Linked DNA regions of Coturnix japonica. The protein of the gene in region 2 interacts with the protein of the main gene of each other region in a biochemical or structural test. Links are inferred from orthologs where the notes say so. Each region holds a gene or a part of one and is shown on either strand. Other genes may lie near its edges.

Region 1 (6,410 bases), on a different chromosome or scaffold from region 2:
GCAGCCCCTGTTCCCAGCACTTACAGCCCTGTGCATCCCTTGAGGTCGCACCGAGCCCGCTCCAGCATTGAATCATTTCCTGTTTTCCTCGGCTGTCGCAGAGCTGGAAGTGTTTGCAGATGGGGTGAACCCACAGCGCGGGGGCATGGGAACGCAGGGCTGAGCCTGCAGTGAGCCCCGAGCACTGCACACTGTGTGTGCTGTATGGGGGCTTTTCCTCTGGGGAAAATGAGCATGGAGGGGTCACTGCTGAGTGGATTTATAGGGGTAAAGGGAGCCCTGTGTGTTTCTTGGGTAGAAGTACCCAAAGGAGATCCCCATCCACTTCTACCAGTTGCCTTTAGCTGGGGGATGGGGATTCATTACCAGCATTTTTTTTTGTTTTGGTTGGGAACATTGGGGAAATTCTCACATGTTTTTATTATTTTAAATGTAAGGTTGTAAGAGATCGTCCTACTGATAGATAGATACCTGAGGTCTGATAGCAGGTGGGAGCAGTGTTGCTTTCAATGCAGATTCAAAACTCAGCTGCAGGAAATGTTTTCCTTAAACCATAGACCCCCTAAAAAAGCCCCGAAGGCACTTCTGTTTCTTAGCAGCTCCTGCCCAGGACATGGCTGTGCCACTGTGCCTGGTGCACGAGAACAGCAGTGGGATAAAACCTGCTGTGTGCTGCTTCCTGTTAGCCCCAAGGAACCATAAAACATTTTGCACGTGATAGAGGTGAAGCACCAAAGCCCTCACGTGCTCTGCTAATATTTGCAGCGAGCTCAGCCTGGACGTGCTGTGGGCACCTTGGGCAGCACCATGTGCAGGGTTGATGCTTCCTCTCTGCAAAGACTTCTGTAGGGCTTTCCCACTCTGCCCAGATCAATGTTTCCATAGGCTCACTGCTAAGTGACTGCAGAGCAGCTGTGCCACATGGCTCCAGGTGGGCACACAGATGATCCCTCTCTGCCCTGTTGGCTCAGTACTCCCAGTTCTGCATGATCATTTTTGAGCTGGTTGCAGGACAGGGCTGCCCATCCCCTGGTGCCATCCCCAGAGTGGCCAAAGATGCAGCTCCAGATCTGGGCATCACCCAGCTTGCTCAGAACATCCCTGCAGGGAGGGATGAGTAGCAAGGTGAGGATGAAGCCTTGAGCCGTGTTGGAGTCACTGGGAGCCAGGCACGGTGCTAACATCAATCAGTGCTGGGAGTTAAGGTGGTGGTGGTGGGGGGGGGGGTGGGTGGGTCTGGGCTGCTGTTGGCTGAGGAAATGCATTTTTTGTTGTTGTTGTTTCAATTTCTCTGGAGTGGTTTTGGACAATCAGTTTTCTAAAATAAACTCAATGAGAGGAAATCCATTTGTTAACCTGTCCCCATTGAGCTGGAAGGAGGGGATGGTGTGCAGATATGTTGCTTCCTTCTCAACTTAATTCTGATTCAGAACAAAACCAAGCCGATAAATCAAACACAATATCTTATCCTCTCCCCCCGCGTAACCACCCCCCATCATCTTTCTTTTTTAAATCAGGATTTAAATGGACAGAAAGAGCTGTGTCCGCGCCTCTGCCACCTGAAGAAAGGTCCCAATGGTTATGGCTTCAACCTGCACAGTGAGAAGTCCCGCCCAGGGCAGTTCATCCGCTCGGTTGACCCTGACTCACCAGCATCCAGAGCAGGTCTGCGGCCCCAGGACCGCCTGGTGGAGGTAACAGCACATGCAGCATGGAGCTTTGGGGCTCTTTTGTTGCATTTTTGGGTCCTACCAACATGAATCCTCCTGGAAATGAGGAGCTGGAGTGCAGAAGGGATGTGATGCTCAGCTGGGAAGCGTGATGCTGAATCCAGGCCCAGTCCTGTGCCCTTTTCCATCAGATCCATCATACTGCTGGGCAGGAGTTTGGAGCCAGGGGAAACGCTTGGCAGAGAGATCTTAAAGCATAGGATTGTGAAAGATGGGGGGAGAAACCACTCTTGGAAGCGATTTTGCTTAATGCCGAACAACAGAATTCTTGATGTTGCACAGAATCACCCTCGCCTTGTTTGTCTCTTGGTGTTTTTACTGAAGAATGAGTTCCCCCATTTAAAGCAGCACAGACAGATGGACAGACATTACTTGTTTCCCAGCTGGGCTCCACACCATACCCCAGCCTGGCTCTGCCCTGGCACTGTGGCAGTGTAATGCTGGGGCTGGGACACCCATGGCTGCGGTTCATGGCAGCGAGGTGTTTTGTTATTTATTTATCATCCATTGGCCAAGTGCCCGGCATGCACAAAGCAGCGAGGGGTGAGCTGGAGAGCTCAGAAACCTGATCCCCCCCCTGCTCCAGCTCTTTGGGGCTCTGATAAATAATTGATGTTCCCAGCCCTGCTGTACCAGTGTTGGGGTGGGAGAGCAGGGCAGTCCCCTTTGGGGTCTCCCTATGGGTCAGGGTGAGTCCTGGGGCAGGACTGGGGTAATATTGGGGTGACATTGGGGTGATGTTGGGGTGACATTGGGGTGACATTGGGGTGACTATGGGGTGATGGTGGGGATGGAGCATGGCTACAAGCCAGGCTGGCTCCTTGGGACTGTGTCTCCTACAGGGTCTGCGCCAGCCCCAGGCAATGGGTGTGTTCATTTCTGAGCACAAACAATGCCTAGAAATCACAATTGTTCCCTTTCTGCCTGGGAGGAGAAATCTCATCTGCTGGTGGCTCCCAGGTCGCGTGCGATGAAGGGAAAATGAGTCAGCACGTCAGGGACAGACAAGCACTGTGCTCTGCCTGGCTGCTGGGACAAGGGATATCCTCCCTCATCCCTTATTGGGGATGAGCTCAGGCAGGATGAGGTTTTGGGGGCAAACTGAAGATGAATACTGGGCTTGAAGTTGCTAGAGGGGAACCAATGTGGTCCTGAGCACTCATGTAGTTTAGGAGGTGGCAGAGTTTGGGGGTCCGGTGGAATTCAGGAATTAGAGCCATAGAATCCTTTGAGTTGGAATGGACCTTTAAAGGTCATTTGGCCAACTCCCTGTAATGGACAGATGGAGCTTGTGCAGAGGTTTTTTTGGGTGTCAGAGATGTCTCTGCTGCAGTCCAACACTGCTGTTTTTTGCAGGTAAACGGAATAAATGTGGAGGGGCTGCGGCACTCAGAAGTGGTGTCCCATATCAAAGCCAGAGAGAGCGAAGCCAGGTTGTTGGTGGTGGACCCTGAGACAGATGAGTACTTCAAAAAGCTGGGGGTGACCCCCACGGAGGAGCACACCAAAGGTGAGAGCCTGGTTCTGCCCCTGTGACTCACCAGGACAAGGGTGGGATTTCAGGAGTGACAGAGTCATGTTTCCCTTGTCTCATCCCTGAGCGGTTTCCTGAGCACCACCCAGCTATTTATAAACAGTGAGAATACTCCCAGCCACAAAACAACTCATTATTTTTACACCGTGAATAATTAACATAGGGACTGGCTGCCAGAAGGCGGCTGTGGGGTGACGATGCTGCGTGGGATGTGTCGATGGGTGCAGCAGCACTTGGTGCAAGTGGTCCAGCTGTGGGGATGCTTTGGTGGCACAACCCAGGGCTGCTCGGTGTCTGGGAGCAGAGCACTGCTGTGGGGCTGCAGGGCGTGATGACCCTTGGCAAAGGAGCCTGAGGGCGCAGAGAGAAGTAAGAACAGCCCCCATGTGCACACGCAGAGATGAGCTTCACACAGCAGCGATCACAGATGTCCGCTGCAGGGAATGTTTCCCTTGCTGCTGGAACCTGGCAGGGAAAGTAGTCTGTCCACTCCACACCCTGTCACCATCCGACCCGAGCTCAGTCAGGTGCTCCGTGGGAAGATTGGTCCAGAGAAATTGAGTCAAAGAGTTCTGAGGGCTGAGAGCGGTGTCAGATGCTCCAAGTGGGCTCAAAGAGGAGCGGTGTGAGCCCGGTCTGCTGGCACAGGCACAAAGGAGCCCTTGTTCCCAGCAGCAGGGACACAGCCAGGGCCATGCGTGTGGGTGTGTGAGTGCTGGGCGCTGGCTCCTTGCTCCCTGCACCAGGAGGATGGGGGTTTAGTGAGGTAGGAGTTGGCCTCTTCTCTCAGGTAACAGCGATAGGATGAGAGGTGATGGCACTGTGTTATGCCAAGGGAGGTTCAGGCTGGATACTGGGGGACATTTCTTCTCTGAAAGGGTGCTCAGGAACTGGCACTGTTGCCCAGGGAGTGGTGGGGTCACTGTCTCTGAAGGTGATAAGAACTATGGAGATGTGGCACTGAGGGACATGGTCAGTAGGTAGGGTGGGATGGAGTGGGGGTTGGCTTAGTGATCTTGGAGGTCTTTTCCAACCTTATTGATGCTGTGATGCACAATGGCTGCAGAGCTGTAAGTTAGAAGCCCTGGGCTGCTGCAGTTACAAGCTGCTCTTGCTTCACTGGGTACAGTGTTGCACAATGAGCACACAGTGTTGTTCTCTGCTTGGCTGCTGTAGGCTGGGGGCTGCTCAGGGGTCCCACTGGGGTGACGGAGGGGCACAGAATGGGGTCTGTGCCCCCAGGAAGTCTTTGTGCTAAGTATAATTCAGTCACTAGCCCTGTCACAACTGGCACATCTGTAGCACCGTGTCTCATCTGTCCCAGGCTGCCTTGAGCAGTGACTTGGTTGTGGGAACTAGCAGCCCATCTGCATTGAATTTGCCATTGTATGGAGGATTACTAACACAAATTATTGGAAGTGGGCAACAATGTGCCAAGGTCCATGAAAGGCAGCGGGTTGCTTGCTACATGCTATTGCAACACCAACAAGTTGCTGATTTCAGCAAAGAATGTTGGGCTGGTCTGTAAGATTTCCGATTAAACAATTCCCAGGAAAAATGGTTTCGCTGTCAAAAACAGGAGTGCACTGAATGCAGAGCTTAGGGAGGGAAGTGGTTTAGTACCCCTGCTGGAAGGGGCTTTCTCCTGATGAAAGCAGCAATTGAATGAGGTTGGGATTGCGGTTCTGGGGGGCACACACTGGGTCTGGCTGCATCTCTGGGGTAGGGGGCACATGGGGCTTCTGGGGCCTTGTTGGGACTGCAGCCCCTGTGATGGAGCCCAGCCCGGCCGTCCCCATGAGTGCACTCACTCTGTTTCCTCTGCCTGGTCCGCAGGTGTGGTGCCTCAGCCCATGACGAATGGATCTGCACAGATGCAGGTGAGTCCCCACCTGCTCCCAGGTTGCCTCAAAGCAGAGGGAACCTCCTAGCCTTGCTGAGGCTCATTGAGCTCAATTAACTGCTGCTGGCTAATTAGAATTGCTTCCTGCTGTAGCTATAATTTCAGGCTTGCACAAGACTGGGCTCAGCCCCATTTGTGCCTTTTCACCAGGAGTAGCACCCTGCATGTACCATTGTCCCTGCAGGCATAGGGTGCTGCACTGGGACTGGCTGTGATGTTTGTCCCCATGTGGTTATTGGGTTTTATTGTTTCTGCCCCCACACAACCTGAGCTAATGTTTCTGTTTCCCACAGCTGAATGGAGGTTCCACATCTTCATCTCACAGTGACCTTCAAAGTCCTGGGAAGGAATCCGAGGTAAAAACCCCAAACACGTGCTGCCTTCTTTTCACATATGTATGTACATGTTTATGCCACGGTACTGTGTAAAATCATATTTGCATGCAATTTCAGTTTCAAATTGAAGGCTTAGGTACACCTGCATCCACCCAGCAATCAATACAGGGAGTTTTCTGTCATGCCCTGCCCTATAAATCCATGTGAGGTGCATTCCTTCCCCTTCACCAGGGATGAAGGTGTGTGGTGCCACATGGCTGTGCTGCCAGCAGAGCCCTGCAGCAGGGGATGCACCCCCTGAGCACCCACAGCCAGCCGGGCAGGGGGCTGTGAGCAGCAGCTGTGTTCAGGGCTGAGCCAGGCGCCTACAGGCTGGCAAGCTCCCTTTTGCTCTGAGCATTAAATAATGCATGGCCCAATTGCACAGTGCATGTGAACCGGTTTGCATCTGTGAGCCAGAGCAAAGCTGGTCCTCTTGCAGGAAGCACTGTGTGTGTGAGGGCAGCAATGCTAGAGGGCAGGACAGGCTTTAAAACGTGGAGATCTTTGTTCTCTGTGTTTGCCTGCTGTGCTTATGTGAGTATGGGGCAGGCAAAGCACTGCACTGGGGCACTTCTGCGGGCATTAAGACCAGGAGCTGCACCATCTACCCAAACCATAGACATGGTGCTGGTGCAGGAGCTTCACATTGTACCTGCTCTGGAGCTCACCCACTGAAAGCAGCTCTGGTGCAGCACCCAGCAGGGCTGGTCCTTCTCTGCCCTGTAGATTCCAAGGAAGGGTGAGGGCTGAGATAACCCAGTGCTGCATGTTTAGCACAAAGCATTTGGACTTGTGCATTAATTGTACCCCTGGGTACAATGTGTTTGTCATCTTTAATCTATTACTGGGACAAGGGAGGGGAGAGG
Region 2 (6,865 bases):
GTATCCAACCAACCAGAGTGGCCAGAGTCATACTGAGTGAAGAGGAATTGTCTTGGTCCACATATAAAATATGTAATATAGTTAATACAAATACCAACAATTATTTTATTATATTTTATATTACTTATTAACACATAAAAAAAGAAGGAAAAAAAAAAAAAAAAAAAAAAAAAAAAAAAACCATGAAACTAAAGGTTTGCACACACATGGGATCACCCTAGTTCCTTCTCTATGTGAAAGAATTCAAACTAATTCTCATAAGATCACCTTCTTGAACCAAAAACTATTTAGGTAAAGGCATCACCAAATATTACTAAGGAATTTCACATGAATACGTTTCTTACCCACAACAATGCTTTAAGTGAGCCATGGAGAAATTAAAAGCACCTTGAAGAGTACAGACAGTTACTGTCCATAGGCGGTTAACTAGTCCTATCTCCCAGAAGACGTAAGAGGGAAGGATACATAGAATTCCGTTTCCTATCCCCCTTAGCACACACACAGTGGAAGAAGGAATTCAGCATATATTCCCATCATACCAGTGTTCTTGGTTCTAGGAACCACTGGACAGCGATCTGTATGAAAAAGTCACAGGCTGATCTTCCTCCAGTTTGGAAAGAAGAAGCATCTTTGAGTAGAACTGCTGGGCTGAGCTTGTGAGAAGGGAGCATGAAGATGGCTTCATCTGAATTGCGTATCTGGATTTAACAATGAAACAGTCACTGAACTACTCAGTCCTGACAAGATAGTTGTCATATGTGGTATGTAGCAAAGCTAAAGTATATGCCTAGAGAGTTGAATGAGAGCATAATGATTGCCTTTTTGAACTTTTGAACTTGGGAAGAAAAAGAAATATATTGTCCCAAAGTTCTGAAAATCCAGTGATTTCTCTGTGTTTTCTATATCCAACTATAAATTAATTATACCTGCATTCGTTAAACCATAATGATTCTTCCTGACCTCCAATTATCTACAGTAAAAACCAAGTGGCAGCAAAGTACCTTGTTTGCTACATAAGGTATTGTCTTGACCCTGCAAAATCCTATAGCATACACAGCTTTGTTACAAAGACAAGAAAGAAGCTTCACAAGGAACATGAACACAGGTGCATGCCTCTATAGAAAAGTCTGCTTTCTTTAAACAAGAAGTTGACAGTGAGCACATCAAGGTCTTCTCAGTGGTTTCAAATAAAAGATATTAACTCCAAATAAGTAATACAAAAAATAAAATGAAAGAAAACCCTGAAACACTGAGTAGTTAATATCTAGTGTTTCTAAGTGTCATAGTAAAAGCAGATCTCAAACCATTTGCATTCATACTTCAGTTCTGAACCATCACAGCTCAGTTTCTAAAGCACAAACTGTTCAGATTTTAGCATGAAGGTTGATTTTTGTGCCTAAATGCTTTCTGTCATTGTCACCCCAAGCAATTCTCTTCTGTTGCCCTATCAGCCTAGACAATCTTGAAAGTCCAACCAAAAGGCAACATTTCCCAAAGCTATTACTCCTTGTATACACATATTAACTTTTTTTAGCATAACAAATTAAGAAGGAAAAAAAAGCAACTACAAACAACACTGAAATGTTCCAATTATCCTCTTCAGAGCAAGTACTTCCATTCTAACTTCAACACCTTCAGCCCTATCCCTCCTGCACAAACAGGCTATAAAGAGCAATAAAACCCAGTCAACAGTTTTGCAGACATCAGTATCAAGAAGTTGATAACACCTCATGAAATATTAAATAAATATTAAATAACATTATATTTATCTACAAGATTTTCTGAATAATACTAACACACTTTTGTGACCTTCAACTCAACTGAATTATAACCAGCTCGGTACTTCAGAAGTAATTCCATGAGAAGAAGTTACCTCAGTAAAGCATTCATCATCAATGTTGTACTTGAAAAAAATATATCATACCATTATTGGACATAGCCATCTTTCTCCATACACACCAAAGAAAGACCTGACTACTCCTTCCAGATCCAATGCCCTTTGGATTCTGTCTCACACTTCCATGGAACTAAAGCAAATACTAACATGTAGGCATGCCTTGAAGTTCTTTACTTAATAGCATCAGTTTCAGAAGCCACTGATGTGTGTACATTCAGTTAAAATGCTGATAAAATATTCTGACATCCTAGAAAACCTTGTTCCAATCTGACACATTAATCACTGCATTGTGGATGTTTCCAGTTGAGTGGACTGGAAACAGTTGATGCTGATATGTAGCAAATGCTCTGACTCTTTAAAGTTCATTACAGAAAATATACTTCCACGCGCTATGAAATTCTTATGCCTTGATGCATTTTTGCTCTGTGATTGTTCACCTTTTATTAGTCCTTAGTATTGATATGGATCTACCCCTGATGAGACAAGAACTGCTAGAGTCCTTGAGGACTGAAGCATTTTCAAACAAGCTAATGTGTCTCATGAAATAATGCATGACTTTAAAAGATACATTGATTTCTTTATTTTTAATTGAAAGACATTCTATCTGCCAGTTTGGATGTAATACATTTTCTAACCTTTTGGTTTTTGCTCTTGTGATTTTTTCAGACCTTTCATGTAATGCTCATAACAAACAAAGGCCTTTGCAGCGTACTTGTCACAATGCAAGTAAGCAGAGCACTTAGTAATTAATAGACACACATCATTCAGAACGTATGAGTCTTTACACAGTTACACATACAATTTTAGCTGTTCTCATCCAGCGAACTGGATGTGTACTTTAACAGATTGATTTTTCTGTGACATACAGTTATTACAAAGTTTTGTAAACAAGTTTATCTGATGTAGTCAGTATTGATCACAATTATCTCTTTTACTTCATATATTAGTTATTATCACTTCATTTACAGTAAGATAGTTGGTGCAATATCACATCTCCTCCACGATACGTAAGATTTAAATGACATTTAATTGACCCGAAGATTCAGATTTTAAAAGAGTTCGGATCAGATCCCAGGATGGTTAATTATGCACTTCCTGAGCATGAGCTGCACCTGGTTTCAGCCATGGAAACATTAACTAAGGTCAGAATCAGAAATACATTTACTTTATCACATTGGAATCTTTCCTTGACGCCTTCCCAGGTCCTAGGGGAGAACCCTAACAAAAGCTTTACAAAGAAATAAAATGAAATACAAGTGTCTCCACAAGCACTGGACTCATTATGTAGCCTTCTGTCCCACAGATCTGTATCTTAATACTTGAGCGGAGAACTAACTGAAGCTTATTCTATGGATTAATATATACAGGCTTATTCCCATCCACATTTTCTGGATCTATCTGCATTTGAGGGCAGGAACAGCTGTACTCACTGCAGCATCTGTACCAGACTCCCCTGGAGTCCTCACCTTTACCTGGATGGTTATAAAGCCTCAAAAACCGCTTATGTTCAGGATCCTTCCCTGCAACCACACCTGGTTAATGATGAACAACAGAACTCAAAACGGGGGAGGCCGGCAAAACAGCAATTCACAAGGGGCACTTCCCTTGTGGAACTTTTTTAAACGAAAAAAAAGAAATAGGAAGAAGAAAAGCTCAGGGCAACCTGTTGAAAGGGAAAGCCATCCCAAAAGGTTTAGAAAGCGAGTTAACAGCCCTCGATTATTCGGCCAATGTTATGCTTCCATACCACGTGTTCCCATTTCAGTCCCCGCGCTCATGCTTTTAACATTTCATCCCATCCCTCAGTGCTGTGTGAAAGACCCTCAAGGAACAAAAGGGGAAAGCAGCTCCTTAGGAAAAGGGCAAAACTGACGGCATGTGGGCTGCTGCCAGCCGGATTGTTTGTTCTTTCCAGCTGGCAGCGTTACCTCGAACAATGTCAGGTAGAGCGTGTTCAGGCTTCTATACCGACTTATAGAGCGCCGTGCACCGGTGTTGGCATTGGCTCCTTTCTCTTTTTATTTGTTGTTGTGCGAAAGAAAAGGCGCCGGGCACTGAACTAGTAAGAGAACGCTCTCAAGGCTCACAAGGAACTCCCTCCAGTAAGATCGCGTCTTGCGGTCGCACGCCGAGCAAACGCTGAAGCTTAAGGAACCGAACGGGGGAACGCTCGCTCCGGGAGCACCCCCCGCCGCCCCTCCCCTCTTCTCACCGTTTACGACGAAAGAACAGATCACCTCGTTGAGTAATTTACCAAAGGTTGCTCAAATTATGCCATAAATTAATTTGTCCGGGGCAGGTGAGGGTTTATGACACCTGACAGATCGAGACCGCTCGGTGCTACAACCCCGCAGAAACATGCCAGAGAAGAGATAGGATCCCGTCGTTCGGCCGCAGCTCCCATCGCTCACCCCGTTCAGAGCCGAGCGGCGTCCCGGCCTCCGGGCGGGAGGGGAGGGCAGGGAGGGCAGGGGAAGGGAGGGCGGGGAACGGGGAGCAGGGGAAGGGAGCCGAGCCCCGGGAGCCCCGTTCCGCACGTGTCCCACCGCGCCGGGGCTCCCACCTGAAGAAAAGTTTGGAGAAGATGTTCGCCTTCTCCAGGGGGGATCTCTGCATGGTGCCCGGCGCTGCGTTGCGTTGCGTTGCGCGGCGCGGACGACGGCGGCCGCTAATCGCTCACGCCCGGCTCGGCTGCTCCACTCCCGCGGCTCTCCCACCTTATCCGCTCGGGACGCTCTGATGTCATTGCCTGCCTCCTTCCCCTGCCCCTCTCCCCGCCTCTGCTTTGCCCAGGTTCAAAAGCAGGAGGGCTGCGGCGCCGGCCCGCGCTCTGCCTCCTCCGCCTCCTCCTCCTCCGCCGCGCCCGGCACCCGCTGCCCGCGCTCCCCGCCCCGACTCCCCGGGACGGCGCTTCCTGCCCGGCCCCGACCCTGCACCGCAGGAGCCCCTCGGGGAGACACCGCCCCTCCGAGCGGAGCCTCCTGCCCCGGCTGCGGAGCGGTGGAGGCAGCGCACCTGAGCCCGTAAGCATCGACGGCGGGACAGAGCGGGCAGTGCGGACGGACGCCTTCGGACCCGCTGTAAAACACACACACGCGTGCTTCAGGCTTTCAAATTTCGTGCAGCCACAGCTCCGAAGGAATGGGAGCTGGAGCACATCCTCACAGAGCTCAGTCTGCAGAGCCAGGTTTAACAGTAAGGCTGATTTCGTCGTTCTGGATGCGTGCTGTACAAACAGGATCCCTGCTGCCAAGGACAGCGCAGTTTAAAGCATGCTTAGAAGAAGACAAAGAGCCAGAGGCAGGAACAACAACTTCGGCTTTAATGCTGCACACCAGATAATTTTATTTAATGCTTTCGTGTCATATTTACAAACTCAGTTTTCCTTTCACTTCTATAACTTGAAAAAATATAGACGGAATAAGACTATGCTTCCTTAAGCATGCAGCTGTTCCCCATCGAGCAAAATCTATAACAGGCAAACACGCTACTCTGTGCTCTTATAAACTGCACTCCAATTAAAGCTGCTGTTTCTCTTTGTAAACTTAGCAGGCGTTTTTTTATTATTATTTCACCACTTCTTTCTACACCCCACCGTGATTTCATAAGGAATCGCTCTGCTTCAGCACTTCTCACACATTGCAGACAGCGGAGAGATGCCCCTTTCCCTGCCATCGCACCGGGCTCCTTTGTGCCTCGGAGCTCCCATGGATCCTCCCCGACTTTGCTCTATTAATGACAAAACCAGTAAGAAGCACAGAGCAGGCAGGGCTCCAGGAAACCGTCTACACTTTATCATGTCTTCAGACAATGCGGAGAGGCAGGACTAATTCTAGGCGGGCTTGGGGACAGTGGAGCGGAGCCCTTCGGCATCCTGCCACCTAGTGGAGCCGGGCCCGGGCCGCCAGTCCGCCCCGCACCGCTCGGCAGCCGCTCCTCGGCCACAGACCTCCCGGCCCACCCGAGTTTGGTTCTGGGCTGCAGGTGGGCACCTTCTCCCCACCCTCGGACACCTCAGCAGGTCGGTCTCCCTACTCCTCCGCACTCAGTGACAAGGACACTCAGCTAGGAAATAAGGTTAGGATGTAGATGGCAGAGTATCATAGAATCACAACATCGTTAAGGCTGGAAAAGAACACTAAAATCATCTGGTCCAACAATGAGCCCAACATCATCATGCCCAATAAAACGTATCTCCTTGTTTCTTGAACACCTTCAGAGATCATGACTCCACCTCTCTGTTCCAATACCTCACTATTCCTATAGAGAAGAAATATTTCCTAATATCCAGCCTGAACCTCCCCTGGTGCAGCTTGAGGCCATTACCTCTCATCCTATCCCTGTTACCTAGGAGAAGAGGCTGACACCCACCTCACCACAAGCTCCCTTCAGGCAGCTGTACAGTGCAATGAGGTGTCCCCTGAGGCTTCTCTTCTCCAGACTAAACAACCCCAGCTGCCTCAGCCACTGCTCATAAGACTTGTGCTCCATTCCCCTCACCAGCTTTACTGCTCTTCTCTGAACTCTGTGAGCCTACATTTCCTGTCACCTTTATCGACTGGGCCCTAACACGCAGACCAACTCAGTGTCTGAAATTCTTTCACTTTGTTAGAAAGCGTAAAAGCTTTAATTTAAAGACAAGCTGGAAACCAGTCCAAGCAACATACAACCACTCTGATGCACGCTCTTCGTCTTTTAGAACAACAATTATTCGTAATCTTGGGCATTCTCCAGCTGAATGTGAAACTTGTCATTGGCACCAGCATGAGTAGGAATAAACTGTATCCTTTCTGTTCTCTCTGGTGACTGAAATACCTCCAAATTTAGTAGTATCTATGAATTTCATTAATATGACCATCTTTTACTTCTACAGAAATGCAGCCTGGTGTGACAACATCTACTTTATCTTACTTGCATCCACATCCACCATCTATCTGACTATAGTCTGACTTTCAGACAAAACATAGT
Region 3 (6,410 bases), on a different chromosome or scaffold from region 2:
GAAGCACCGCGGCCTCGCCATACTCTTGATGAGCTGAATCCACAGAAATCAAAACACCAAGGTGTAAGAAGAGCAAAGTGGCATCTGGGGATACGGAGTCAGAGTCGACCAAATGATATAATGGCTGAAGTTTGTCGAGCAATTAAACAGCTGGACTATGAATGGAAGGTAAAAGCATATTACTTCTTTATTACAAGAAGCAGTAGATTTTGAGCTGTGTTGTTATATAGCCTAGAAGTCTAAAAAACTGCATCTTCCGTATATAGTCTGGTTCAGCAATAGCTATAAGTACATTAATTTAAGGACTGGTATATTAGTTCAGCAAAAAGAAATTTGTGTGCTAGTTCTAAAACTTTCCAGTTTAGCTTTGCTTAGTATGTGAACAGTCATGTTTTTCTGAATGATCCTTGCTCAATGAAGTCAAAATAGATTACTTTTACCTTTGCATCCACCAGGTGCAAGGACTTTTTCTTGGGTTTCATATAAATTGTTTTGAGTTATAGTGTACCAAGATAGAAAGTTGCTCATTATGGCATAACAAGCAATGGAAATTTGCCAAACTGGGGGAAAACAGCTAAAGGTCAGCTAGGCAATATCAAGAGGAAACTGAAGGAAGTGGTCTGTGACCATCCTAGGTTCCCACTGTGCAGGCCCAACAGGGTTTTTAACATATATTAATGAATTCTTGGAAAATAATGAATATGTAGTTTCCAGAAATGTATTGCATGTGAATGGCTTAAATGCTTAAATTTAGAACATGAACTCCAGGAGTGAGTGCTTGATTTGTCAAGTTGCCAGGTATGTATCATGAACTAAAAGGAATGCTGTTTTTCTTACACTATGTTGGAGTTAGCAAGTTTACTTTCCTGATTTTTCTGATGACATTCCTGTGCAGGAAAACAAGTGTGTGTGTGTGCACCAACAACTTGCTTACTGCATGAAAATGGTTTTGGAAGAGGTAATTTATGCTGAAAGAAAAAAAGTTGTGTTAACATGTCTAACTTTTCTGCTGGGGCTCTAAGGATGTGTGGGTTTTCTTTTTTTTCTTTTTTCTTTTTTCTTTTTTCTTTTTTTTTTTTCCTTTTGCCAGTAGGAAAAAGCAAACAAACAAACAAACAGACAAAAAAAAAAAAACCACCAAAAAACGCACCTTAAGAGGCAAGCCTGAAATCCCTTGATATTAGTAAGTTGAAATAAGAACAGTATGGTCTGCATCTCAAGCAGTTCTGGTAACTAACTCAAATCTCTTTTGTAATAGGTTGTAAATCCATACTACTTGCGTGTTCGAAGAAAGAATCCAGTGACAAGTGCATATTCTAAAATGAGTTTACAGCTGTATCAGGTGGACAGCAGAACATATTTACTGGACTTCCGTAGCATTGATGGTATGCAAAGACTTGTGTTAATGGAACTATAAGGGAAACTGTTCTAAATTCCAGGTCTTAATTTACTTGTGAATAAGTGAATTAAAACTGTTACCCTTTATCAGCTAAAGCCAGATCTCAGTTTTAGTATTTCTTTGCTCCTTCCTGCTCTAGTGCTCCTGTAGTCAAATGATTAGCTGGTTCATCTCTCAAAACCCTCTTTAGCTGTATCAACTCCTCAGTTATTGGTTTGTGTGTCTCTACCAGCACTGATGCCACTGGTACTAAAAGGGGCAGCGCTATGAAGAAGCAATACTTAGGTTACTTTAACTGTCTGCTGCTGCTTAGATCCAGTGATACTTCATAAAAGGGTCTAATCACTTTACTGTACTAACAATGTAAGAAAAATACCAGTTCAGTGGGAGGGAAGAAGACTGCCTAGAGCCACTCAGCCAAGAAAGGACAGCCTGTCTTTTCAGTCATGAAGCTGATTTGGTATTTCTTTTTGCTACAAATAACTATTAAGTATTTCTTTTATGGGACTGCAGTTTCAAGTAGATTTGACTGATGTAAAAAACAGTCCCTCCTTTACTCACTAATTTTTCCTGGACATAACTCTAAGGTACAAGTGTGAGTCTAATAACAAGCTAATGTTCAGTTTCTAAAGTAAGGTAAAAGATACTTCAGCAGACCTTGCTTCTAAGATGGAAGTATTTCTTTCTAATATGGGAGGTAAGCTTAAGTTGCTATAGATATAGTTCAAGGTGTATAAAATTCTAAAAGAAACACATCAGTTTGTTTTTCACTTTTGTAAATAGTTGCAATCAATGCACAATTAGTCTTAAGAATATTAGAAATAAAATATAAATAACCAAATACAATAAAAACAAAGTAGATGCTAGGAGAAAGTATGTACAAAATGTTTGAACTGTTATTAAGCTTAAACAGATAACTATGGGAGTTTAAAGATAAATGAAGTAAATCAGTTGAACTGTTAGCCACTGAAATTATTTACTGACTGGAAAATGATGGCTGCTCGTCTAATGTTGATCATATTGTCCTGAAGCACAGTTCATAGCACTGTACCAATTTGCATAAGGATGACTGCTTCTGTTACTACTTCTATAAGCTTTTGTTTTGTATTAACTATATATACTTCACAAGAGCTGTTTAAATGTTAACAAGGATTTTAAAAACAAGATTAAGTCTGAGGGGAAAAATATTTTGCTGATCTTCTGGCTAGTTTGATGTGAATGACTAATTTTTTACTCTCTACTGGCCTTTTCAGATGAAATTATTGAAACAAAGTCTGGGACTGCAACTCCACAGAGATCAGGTTCTGTGAGCAACTACAGATCATGTCAGAAAGACTCAGATGGTGATGCACAAGGAAAATCTGCAGATACGTCGCTTACCTCATCAATGACCTCTTCACTTGATTCTTCGACAGCTGACTTAACTCCAAGACCTGGCAGTCATACAATAGAATTTTTTGAGATGTGTGCAAATCTTATTAAAATACTTGCACAATAACTTTGAAGGTGGGCTTATTTCTTTTACAGCAATAAGCATGCATAAATTGTAGTCAGATGCTTCCAGTTGTAATCAATTTAAATTAAGGCGCTGAAAAAACTAGCTGCAAAATGCAATTTACCTGGGGATTTAAATCATTATGAATTAGGTATATTGCTTTGAAGCTGGAGTGAATTTTGATTTTCTGCTATCCAGTAGCTTAATACAGGTACAGGAAGTCACATGCCCCTTGGCAGTGCTTGTAACATTTTCATTGAGTGCACGTTAGTATTTATATAACATTTACATTACATGGTCCTTTTTGTCCTTCTTGTTGGTGATGCATACCTCTGGAGCACTGTAAGAAAATGTGCGCTTACAAGTTCATTGACCTAAGTATGACTTGTTGGTCACTGTCTACGTTTGTGCCTCAGTTGATCAGAACAGTTAATGTCTCCTAACAGTAAAGTGTTAAAACTGCTGTTCCTTCCCCCTTTATTCAGCAGTAAATGAGATTTTTAAACAAAGTCTGATGTGCTGTAATATGCCATTCAATAGTTGATGCACTTGAGTAAATGTTGGCAAATCCAACCAATTGGAATTTTCAGTACGTGTAAGTGCTCTGCAGCACAGTTACGAGTACAGTTCTCTGGGGATTAAGTAGAACAGTTGAAGCCACAGCAGTGCCAAGAGAGACAATGCTGAGAAGACACGCCATGCAATGGCCTGAAACAGATCACTGCTCTAAAGCACTGTGAGCAAGCTCCTGATCTGTGCAGGTTTGCTAGCTCGTACCATAGTGTAGTAGCAGCACAGCTACTGGCAGGCTGAGAATCCTTAGAAGTAAATGCATGTAGTTAAGAGCACAGCCTAGGGGTTGTTGCATGTTATTCTGCAATCTGAAATTGACACGCTTTAAAGAAAAAAAAAAGTTAATACTTAGATATGTTTGCTTACATCACATGTTAACTTACTATATGCTATGTAGAATTCACATTGCAGTTGAAACTTATCGATAGGCTTAGTTTTTCCGGACTACCCTCAAACAAATTTTACTACTTAAATTGTGGAAATTAATAGTGCTGTTTTTCCATTGAATGTTTAAAGCTGAATATGACAACTAAAGTGTTAATGGTTAGGAGGTTTTGAAATGTAGATTGCAGTCACAGATAACAGTAGTTGTAACTGCAGAAGAAATGTTTTAAGAAGATGACCTTAAATGCTGAATCAGATATATTTGCTGAAAAATGCTAAATATCTTGTAAGTTGGATGTACGTACCCACAGTTCCATTTTCATCTAGCACTGATGGATGTAAATGCTAATCAGTAAATTGCCATAAACCATTTTAATTTCTTATTAGGGGATTTTTCTTTTTGAGATAGACTACATGGCTTTAAAAGATTGCTCTCCCATTTAGAAACTGGAAATCAAGGCATTAATATAAACAGTGTAACCTGGACTTTGTTAGGATGGATGGGACTTCTAGCCAGTGATGAGTCTAAGATCCCATCCCTGACACGCTGCTAACCTCAGATGACAAGAACAGTGTAATGCAGTCCAGTTGGCTTCAGTCCAGAAATTCCTCTGTTACAAATTTGAAGAAATTTAGATATGCTTAAGCCTCAGAAGTGCTGTAGCTCTTCTCAACTGGGCAATTGTGTGTCCTGTCTTGTATGTAGGTACAGCTTCAGTTTCTTGTCCTCAAGTAGTGTCTCGCACGGTCCCTGTAGTGCAAGGTTATATTTTGAATAGCATATATGTAGCTCAGAGTGGAAGGGTTCTCCTAGGGAAAAACTATTGTGTTTGAACTATTGAGACTGAGATGACAGTATGTGGGACCAGCTATCAATCATACTTTTAAGTCCTTTCTTCAGTCATGTAAGGAAAGGTTCTGATGTTCTGAATAAATAGGTGTGCTCATTTTGTTATCCTTTTATTTTGAAACCTAAATATTGCACTTGTACAAATGTAACAAACGCACAGATTTTTTTATTGCAGTAATTCCTTATCTGGAGTTTGTTTGGGATCACTAAAACTGCCTCTTGCATATGTTTAACTAAATATTTACTAATGGTATCTGCTCCTGGTGAAAAGGTGCGAGCAGCTCTTAATTACATACACTTCTTTTGGCCCTTCTGTGCATTATGGCAGCCGCGGATTTTACTTTGTTCTCTTGTCTGAATTTTGTTGGCACGATGCAACAGTTTTGATGGCCAAAAGTTTTGTGATAGAACCGAGGGGATTTTATAATACAGGTTTGGGGAGTGGGGAAGGGGACTGACATCCTATTTTGAATCCGGTGCAGTTGTCTGTTGTGTCACTTTCTTACGCTTTGTAGATCTTTATTCTGGAGCTGCTTTCTTCAGATGTTCCTACTGAGCTTGGAGATCTTCTTTTGCATCCCGTCAGGCTGTGAGACTGAACCTCACTGAGGAAAACAGCAGGAGTGTGAGGATGTAATTGATGTGAATACGTGAATTGGTCAAGTATGTTACTCTGCAATCCAAGCACATTCAGTTGGAGTGTGCTGAATTATTTTTCCTGTGTTCTTGCTTTATGGAAGCACAGATAAACCCAGTTATCTCTGAGCTCAGTAGGTATTGAATTAAAAAAAGAGGGGGAAAAAAAAAAAGTATAATTTGGGTGCATAATGCTAAAAGCAAGAAGAAAACGTCATGTTTGTCATGGTTGTCTTGTTATGAGCGTTAACTACTAAAGTGGAAATGTTATTTTACCAGTTGATTACCATTGTAAGATTTGAAGTCATGTTCTTTTAATAAAGATGTGCCTACTTCCTATGTTGATTTTTTTTCTGACAAAGTAACGAATGCAAAAATGCTTGTTTATAACCGTGTTGACTTTATAAAACTTTCAGAAGCTTAAAGTAAAAACGAAGTACTTAAGCATCCCGTCTGCAGGTGTGTGCTGTCTCGTGGTGTTACGCGCTGTCGTTGTAGAGGGGCTGGGAGGGGACGGGCTGGTAACTGCGGGTTGCTGGACGGCACAGCGCCGCGACACAGCGCCGCAGCACGGCCCCGCGGCCGGACACGGCCCTTGTCGCTCCCCGTCGCTCTCAGCCCACGGCGGAACCGCTGCCGCTCCGCCCTTCCGCTTCCCGGCGGGTCAGAGGTGTGTGGGGCTTGAGGCGGCGCGGGCCGGCAGGTAGCGGGCTCTGGCTGCAGGCCGGGCCTCTGCCCGCCCCCCTTCGGGCAGCGCTCGGGGCGGTGTTCGGGCCGTGTCCGAGCCGTGGCCCTGTGGCTCCGCGGGGAGCTCGGCGTAGCGCTCCTGGGTGTGGGCTGTGCTTTACTTGCTGCTTTTGCTTGTGGTTGGTGCAGAACGCCTCGCTACCGCTTGGCGTGGAGCTGCTGGGCGGGATCTGTATGGATGAAGGGCGTTCTGCTTCACGTTACTGCTCAAGATGAGCAAGCTGTGTTTGTTTTCCCGCACGCCGTAAATCTAGCTCTTCTAATCGCTGAAATCTGTTTTCCTCTAGTTCTCCCAATGGCTTCTTTTGGCTGGAAGAGAAAGATCG

What was found. The genes of interacting proteins can lie anywhere in the genome.
Region 1: the proteins of CFTR (region 2) and SLC9A3R2 form a complex in vitro, tested with the Homo sapiens proteins (4 studies listed by BioGRID and IntAct, with this or other methods). The link is inferred for Coturnix japonica from reciprocal best matches to the Homo sapiens genes CFTR and NHERF2.
Region 3: the proteins of CFTR (region 2) and PRKAA1 form a complex in vitro, tested with the Homo sapiens proteins (2 studies listed by BioGRID, with this or other methods). The link is inferred for Coturnix japonica from reciprocal best matches to the Homo sapiens genes CFTR and PRKAA1.

Annotation. Positions count from the first base shown.
Region 1 is NC_029529.1:6,207,787-6,214,196, forward strand, and holds part of SLC9A3R2 (Na(+)/H(+) exchange regulatory cofactor NHE-RF2), read left to right. Parts: intron 1-1,517; coding exon 1,518-1,694; intron 1,695-3,086; coding exon 3,087-3,240; intron 3,241-5,100; coding exon 5,101-5,144; intron 5,145-5,460; coding exon 5,461-5,523; intron 5,524-6,410.
Region 2 is NC_029516.1:22,122,602-22,129,466, forward strand, and holds the start of CFTR (cystic fibrosis transmembrane conductance regulator), read right to left. Parts: upstream 4,701-6,865; 5' UTR 4,514-4,700; coding exon 4,461-4,513; intron 1-4,460. UniProt on the Homo sapiens protein: Epithelial ion channel that plays an important role in the regulation of epithelial ion and water transport and fluid homeostasis. Mediates the transport of chloride ions across the cell membrane.
Region 3 is NC_029547.1:11,798,327-11,804,736, reverse strand, and holds the end of PRKAA1 (5'-AMP-activated protein kinase catalytic subunit alpha-1), read left to right. Parts: coding exon 1-168; intron 169-1,258; coding exon 1,259-1,385; intron 1,386-2,652; coding exon 2,653-2,897; 3' UTR 2,898-5,781; downstream 5,782-6,410. Other genes in the region: TTC33 (tetratricopeptide repeat protein 33), read left to right, coding at 6,380-6,410. UniProt on the Homo sapiens protein: Catalytic subunit of AMP-activated protein kinase (AMPK), an energy sensor protein kinase that plays a key role in regulating cellular energy metabolism.